2 linked regions of the Elephas maximus indicus genome follow. The protein of the gene in region 1 purifies or fractionates together with the protein of each later gene. This does not show direct contact. Links are inferred from orthologs where the notes say so. Each region holds a gene or a part of one and is shown in the gene's direction. Other genes may lie near its edges.

Region 1 (3,913 bases):
ATAATACCATATACACTGTATGTAGTTTAAAAAACAAACCCGTTGCTGACAAGTCAATTCCGGCTCAGTGACCCTAGAGGACAGAGCAGACCTGCCCCACAGGGGTTTCCAAGGAGCGGCTGGTGGGTTCGAACCGCAGACCTTTTGGTTAACAGCCGAGCTCTTTACCACTGGGTCACCAAGGCTCGTATAGCGCCTGGTGGATTTGAACTGCCAACCTTTTGGTTAGCAGCCATAGCACTTAAACACTACGCCACCAGGGTTTTCATATGTATAGGTGATAAATATTCCTGAAAGAAAAAAAAATAGAGCAGGATAACGGAGCTAGAGAGGTTGCGATTTTAAATAACGTAGCCGGGACACACCTCACTGAGGTGACATTCGAGCAAAGATGTGAAGGAGAAGAGAGAGCGAGGCATCCAGATATCTGGGGGAAGAGCCATCAGGGTGTGGGAAAAGAGAGTGCAAAGAAAGGCCCTTCGGCGGGAGCTCAGCATCCATCAACAACAAGCGGAAGAGACAGGAGATGCGATGCAAACTAAGGGTCTAGTAGCCACTTGTAAGAACCTTGAGTTTACGTTGGGTGACACGGGGAATCACCGGAGATTTCTGCGCAAAGGAGTGACGTAACTTAACCTCCGTTAGGTCCTTCTAGTTCGGCCCAAGTTCAGAAGGTTAGTAAGAAGAGAAGACAAAATGTGAGCCCGGGCAGTCTAGCATCGTACGTAGCCTGTGCTCTCAGGATTAAAGAATCAGTCAACATCACATAGCCTCAGGCGCGTAGCAGGGGCCCATCTCGGTGGTTACCTGGACCCTTTCACTTAAACTCCGCCCCGATCTACTGCCCTCTAGTTCTCCAGCTCCGGAGCTCAGCACCCACTTGGTCCGCTCTCCACGTAGCGATTCCCCGGCTACTAATTGCGCAACTCCGGCGGTCGGGGGGGCTCCGGGCGTAGGCGGGGCGGCGGCGGGCTGGGAGAACACCCGGGCTGCAGACACCACAGGGAAGCCCTGAGAGCCCAAGCGACGTCCTCGGTGTGCGCCTGCGTACGCCGGATCCCGGCCGCCGACATTCCAGAGCAGCAATACGCCCCGCCCCCAATTCTGGGGCGGAGTTCTTTACCACGCATGCGCATAGTCTCGCCGCACCCTACGCCTGCGCGCTTCGCCAGCCCGTCCCCATCCCCAGCTTTTCGGGTGGGGGAGGGGGGTGCGTCTCGGCGAGTCACGATGATGGCGGCGACCGTCGTGTGGTGAGCTAGCGGATTCCCTGCTTGTCGCTCAGAGCCCCTCGCACCTCTTGCAGACTCAGTGGCTGACGCCGGACGCGGCCGGAGCTCGCGTGGAAGGCCGCGGTCGCGGAGGCAGCGGCTCGGCCTGGGGCCAGGGCTGGGGGAGAGGCCGCTCCGCAGGGCGAATGTGACAAGCCCCCACCCCCACCGCTTTCCTCTTGAGTGTGCGAGGAACGCCGGCGACCCCAGGGCCCGGCCAGGCCACAGACCCCGCCCAGCGGCCAGCACCCGGAGCAGGCCCGGCAGTGGAGCTGCGCGGTGGCACCATGCAGGTCACCCTGAAGACCCTCCAGCAGCAAACCTTTAAGATCGACATCGACCCCGAGGAGACGGTACGAGCGGCGGGGAACACAGGGCCTGGGGTCGGGTGGAGCGGGGGCGGCCGCGCGCGGGCCTCGGGGAGCGTGAGGGGCCCGCCGGGCCTCGGTGGGGGCGGCACGGCGGCCGCTGCGCGCGGAACCGGGTCTCAGCCCCGAGAGGAGCCCTGCGACGCGCCCGGGCGGGGAGAGCCTTCAGCTCACCCACGAGGGCGCCGTGAGTGCGGGCGCGAGGTGCGGCCTGTGGGCTGCGGGCGCGATAGGGCCCAGGGTTCCGGCCTCGGACGCGTGCGTCGTGCCGGACCCTTCGGAGTTGGCCACCGGCTTTGTGGAGGGAGGATGGGAAGCAGTGGCTGGACGCCGAGGGCCTGGTGGCAGATGGCGGGAGCACGCCCGCGGGGCGCCGGAGGCCTCGGCCTGGGAGCTCGTGGTAGTGGGGCCGGAGGGGGAGGGGAGGTCGCGGCGGCCCCTGGAGCGAGCCGGGCTTTCTGGCGTAGGTTTACAGGTGGGGGAGGGAGATGAGGCGTCTGGACCTGAGTAGACCTGGTTAGGTTCTAAGGTCTAGGAGGTGGTAACCCGAGATAGCGAGCCTTAAAAAAAAAAAAGTATCAGGTTTCGCCTGCCGCAGTTTTCGGAGGTGAGTAGTGGTGAAAACGAATTCTTTGCTTCTTTTCCCTCCAGAGTTATTAAACCTTTTATTTGCATGTATCACGAATCCAGCCACCCAACACACATGCACATGCAGATTGCACGTTAAGGTCTCTTTGGTGGTGAAGATTAGAGCTCTTTAGATTCTGGCTCGGTCCCAACTCGAGATTTCATGGGTCCTCTGTTAGAAGTCTTGGAATTGGAGGAGTTGTATTGGAACCCTGTTCACGCCACCTCACCGCCCCCCCCCATAGTAGCATTTCAAGGGAGATATCCATATTTAAAAAATCTTTTAAATCTGTTCTGCAGTTAAACATTTCAAAAATCCGCATGATAAATTCTCAAGCCATTTTCTGTATTTGCGATTGCAAAAAGAGCAACTAAGTTGAAGTCAGTACAGTTTTATGCCAAAAAGCTAAAAGTGTCACGTGTGTAAATTTACTGCTTAGGTTCTGGAGTTGTTACGCTATACACAGTTAAGCAGTTTTCTGCCCATCTATATATTTTTTAAAAAATTGATTATATTTTTGTTGGAGATCAGGAGTCGTGGTGTTTATTAGATAGACTTGAATTCCGTCTGTGGGTCTGTAACTCTCTTAGTTTGGCCTGCTGTACAATGGGGAAAATTACTTGCCTTTTAGAGAGATGTGAGGACAAAATTGCATTTAACTGGTGGTCAGTAAATGGAATTATTACCCAGTGGATACCTCTTAGATACAGTGTTATGTTTTACCCTCTAATTTTATGAAGTTTTCTATGTCTTTAATTGTTTAAGAGACAGATTTCCCAACTTCTTTTGGAATTGTGACACAAGATGATTTGATTGCAAGACATTTCATTATATGTGGAAGTGTGGGTGCGATATATTCTTAATATAGGTGTGGGAAATATCAGTTAATGTGTGAGAAACTGAAGTGTTCTCAGGAGTATTTGACTGGATTAGTATTATAAATAGAAACAAAATTTTCCCAAACATTTCCTTACTGTTTAGTGTGTATTAATAAGTTGAAGGATGAAAGTTATGTTTTCAGACGCAGCTTTAGTTACTACTTCAAACTATTGTGTAGCTATACATAAAATGTCTATATGTTTTGGTTCTTTGTACTAATATATGTTGGTGCCAAAGTATCTTTACCGGAATTAATTCCACAATTACTGAAACCTAAAGAAGGTTTCTTTTTTCTTTTTGTGGTAACTAATGAGCCCTGGTGGCGCAGTGGTTAAAGCGATTGACTGCTAACTGAAAGGTCTGCAGTTCAAAACCGCCAGTCACTCAAAGGGAGAAAGATGTGGCAGTCTGCTTCTGTGAAGATTTACAGCCTCGGAAACCCTATGGGGTCGCTATAAGTCGGAATTGACTCTGCGGTGGGGTTGGTTGTTTTTTGTTGTTGTTTTGGTTATGTGTGGGTTTATTGAAGTTAAGCAGTGACTTTCCACAGCTCCAATGAAATATTTATGCTCTATGAGAGTTGTAAAGCTCTTTAGGTACTTACGCTATTATCTTAGAGCCAATATTATAATTGTATAGGTTCTTAATTATATTTGCTCTTTTCCAGTTTATTTCTAAGCGTATGTATATGAACTTGAAAGTATACTTTTAGGAGTTTATTTTCATAAAGCTCATTGTTACAGAGAGTGGCATCTTCAGCATTTTGT
Region 2 (3,913 bases), on another chromosome or scaffold:
TCAGCTGCTAACCAAAAGGTTGGTGGTTTGAGTCCACCCAAAGGCTCCTCCAAAGAAAGGCCTAGTGATCTACTTCCAAAAATCAGTCACTGAAAACACTATGGAACCCAGTTCTATTCTGATACACATGGGTCAGAATGAACTTAAGGGCAACTGGTTTGGTTTTGGTTCTGTCCCCCCTCTTCCCCCCCCAACTTGCTTCTGGGTTTCCTGTCATAAGCACGTGTCCCTTCCGAAGACTATCAAAATATTCTATTTTTTTCCCGCTGTTTTTATGATTCACCTTCATGCTGCGTCTTTAATAAAAACAAACAAACAAAAAAAACCCTCAAACCCGTTGTCGTCGATTCGGATTCATAGCGGCCCTACAGCACAGGGTAGAGCTGCCCCACAGGGTTTCCAGGGAGCACCTGGTGGATTCGACCTGCCAACCTTTTTTTTTTTTTTTTTTAATAATTTTCATTGTGCTTTAAGTGAAAGTTTACAAATCAACTCAGTCTCTCACACAAAAATTTATATACACCTTGCTATACACTCCCAATTACTCTCTCCCTAATGAGACAGCCTGCTCTCTCCCTCCACTCTCTCTTTTCGTGTCCTTTTCGCCAGCTTCTAACCCCCTCCACCCTCTCATCTCCCCTCCAGGCAGGAGATGCCAACATAGTCTCAAGAATCCACCTGATCCAAGAAGGTCGCTCCTCACCAGAATCCCTCTCCAACCCATTGTCCAGTCCAATCCATGTCTGAAGAGTTGGCTTTGGGAAGAGTTCCTGTCCTGGGCCAACAGAAGGTCTGGGGGACATGACCACCAGGGTCCTTCTAGTGTCAGACCATTAAGTCTGGTCTTAACGAGAATTTGGGGTCTGCATCCCGTCGACCTGCCAACCTTTCGATTAGCAGCCATGGCTCTTAACCACTACTCCACCAAGGTTTCAGTAGGGAATCCTCTCACTTTTTCTCCAATTCGTCTTTCGGGTAAGAGATTTTTGGAAAGGTTTTACCGGGTAACAAGGGGAAACGGCCACCTGGGACCATCGCTTTAGGGCACCCATAAGTGGTTGGCACTTCATATATGGTGTGTAACTTCCCCCTCAGGGGGGTTACGGATAAGGAAATAGGGCGTTGCACAAAGTAACTTACAGAGCCATTACTGGAAGAGACACCGTCAGGGCAAGAGGCAAACGCAGATTTAACACACCTAGCACCACACTCGCTTTCCGACCTCTCGCGACAGTTGTACGTCATCCGAGAGCGCCGGTGACCGGGGCGGTAGCGCGGCCTACGTCGCGTGAAGCTGTGACCTGCTGTGCTGTCTCACCGGTGAGGCCGAGAAGCCAGCGAGACGTGCGTTCTGTAGAACCTGCAGCCTCCGGCCTCCCGCCACTATGGAGTACCTCATAGGCATCCAGGGCCCCGACTACGTCCTGGTCGCCTCCGACCGGGTGGCCGCCAGCAATATTGTCCAGATGAAGGACGGTGAGAGGAAGCAGGGGAGGCCCGGCCGGGCCTGGGTGTTGGGGCAGAGAAGGGAGTTCGGGGGCGGGGGGTTGGGGTACCAGGGACGTCTGGAAGTTAGGACCCGCCCTGGCCTGCCATCCACTTATCTTTTAGAGCTGAGGAGACAGACAAGCTTACGACCTTGCTAGCCATTCCTCCCAGGGCTCCTAGGTCAGTGCTCAGTGCACTGGCCTTCGCTAAATACTTGCTAGGAGAGAGTTGCCTAAGAGAGTTTAGTTTGTAAGTGCTTAAACCGCTGCCCAGCACTAGGCTCCCCTGGTAAGTTTCCTGTTGTCGCTACCAGTGAGATTAGTTTCGTGGAATCCTGGGGAGAGTGAGACTGTGGGACCAGAAGCTTAGTATTTTCTTTTCTTCCGCTGTCTCTTCCCTTGGCTCAGCTCTTATGCTCCTTTTCTAGTTTTCCTGGGCACTGGCTGCCAAGTTTTCTTTATGTTTTAGTAGTTAATAGAATTAGAAGACACGATTCCAGCCCCCGTCGCTTTCTTGCTTTGTGACTTTGTACAAGTTACTTTACAGTGCCCAGATTTTCTAATCCGTAAAATCAGATTAGTATTACCAGCCTCACAAGATTGCTGTGAGGATTGAGTGAATGAGGTAAATTACGTGCGAACGCCCAGGAGAGTGATAAATACTTGGTAGTAATTTATAGGTGCTGGACCGGGCAGCGTTTCGTCGGTTGTACATAGCGTCGCTTGAGTCGCAATCGAGTCTATAACATCCAACAACAATACTACTACTAAGCACTTATTATGTATGTGCTTAAAATGATTTACTAATTCGTTTAACCTTTTGAGATAAGCACTATTACATCCCCACTTTACAGATGTTAGTTCTGAGGCACAGAGGTTAAGAAACTTGCCCAAGGTCACGAATGGCAGAACCAGGGTTCAAACTTATGTGGTGTGACTCCAGACCTTTTGCCCATATTTGCTGTACTATACTGTCTCCTACAGTGTATACTCAAATACTTCAAAAAAGATTTTGGTCGTTGACATGAGAAATCTAAGTGTGTGTTTTCATGACTGATCATAGACGTGCTACTGTTGAAAAAGCATTTTGCTTTGTCTCAGAGATGATTTAATTGTTGGTTTGACAGACAGGTTTTGGATACCTATGTGTACGTTACAGTACTAGGTGCTGGGGGAATGCAAAGAAGAGTGAGAAACAACCCCTATCCTAAGATTATTAGGTGTATAATCTTAAAAGAAGTTACAGTTTAATAAGGGATTCGGATATGTGTACCAATAATTACATGAAGTGTTATATGAAAACTACAATCAAACTTCTCAGGTAATGCAGAGCAAGAAGAGATTGTGCTCAGGTAATCCAGAGGAAAAAGATTCTTTCTGGTTGTAGAGATTTAGAGAAAACTTTGAGAGCAGCTGACAGTTCATCTTGGGTTTAAAGAAAGAAAAATTATTAAATCCAAGGTTTCTTAAAGTGTATGTATGAACAAAGGCAAAAAATGTGTTCACAGCTGCTGCCTCAGCAGGCATCTGATTGTCAGGCTGGAAAGGTAGAATGACCTCTGATGGACTTCACTTGTGTGTTCTAGTCTTCCTGAAGAAGAGAGTCCTGAAAGTGGTTTATTAAACATCTATTGTATGGATTGTTCCTCAAGTGAAATTACTTAATGAAATTAGATGATTAGTTTGTAGAAGTTCTGTTTGTAAACTAGTCTTTCAAAGGAGTAAATTTGTTTTGTTTGAGAATAAATTTGTCCGTTATTTTGAATACTGAGCCTTTTGATAAGCAAATTATTTAGAAGCTGTTTTTAAGTAGAATAACCAAGTCAGTATCTTTACAAATCTTCTGTTTTATCATGACAATGTATGTGAAATAATTTTGAAAAGTAAAATGTGCTTTAAGCCTATTTGTGTACAACATATTAGACATAGATTAGTCCAAAACATTAAGGAAACAAGGAAATGCATATTACAAGGTGATTTTGTATGATAAAAGAAGTATCACTAGTCAGTATTAGTTTTTAAATTAATGATTTCAGCAGTGATTCCTAAGGGCATTCAGAGAAAGGAAAGATCAATGTGGTTTAGAAGAAAGATGAATTTGAGTTAGTTCTTGAAAAATGATAGGAAATAATTGCAGTCAACTCTGATTTTCCCCATGGTTTTTTCTGGCATAAACACTTTTATGATGGGAGCTTTGGAATTGTATAAGGACTTTTTCCTACTATTCATTTCCTGAAGAAACTGTGTGGGTAGGCAAGAATGCTGAAAACAGTAGCCTTTTGGGGCTTATTTTCTCCAACTATAAAATGAGAAAAATACTTGCCATTCGTTTTTCATTTTGTCGCTTTGCAAAATATTTTGATACTATAGAGAAGGCATTTCCCAAAGATTGCTTATCAAAATTAGGTGGTACAACTCTCAGTTTG

The links.
Region 2: the proteins of RAD23B (region 1) and PSMB2 purify together in Homo sapiens (affinity purification with western blotting; 3 studies listed by BioGRID, with this or other methods). This does not show direct contact. The link is inferred for Elephas maximus indicus from reciprocal best matches to the Homo sapiens genes RAD23B and PSMB2.

Annotation. Positions count from the first base shown.
Region 1 is NC_064827.1:56,782,944-56,786,856, forward strand, and holds the start of RAD23B (UV excision repair protein RAD23 homolog B), read left to right. Parts: upstream 1-1,143; 5' UTR 1,144-1,558; coding exon 1,559-1,624; intron 1,625-3,913. UniProt on the Homo sapiens protein: Multiubiquitin chain receptor involved in modulation of proteasomal degradation. Binds to polyubiquitin chains.
Region 2 is NC_064821.1:76,947,997-76,951,909, reverse strand, and holds the start of PSMB2 (proteasome subunit beta type-2), read left to right. Parts: upstream 1-1,242; 5' UTR 1,243-1,385; coding exon 1,386-1,476; intron 1,477-3,913. UniProt on the Homo sapiens protein: Non-catalytic component of the 20S core proteasome complex involved in the proteolytic degradation of most intracellular proteins. This complex plays numerous essential roles within the cell by associating with different regulatory particles.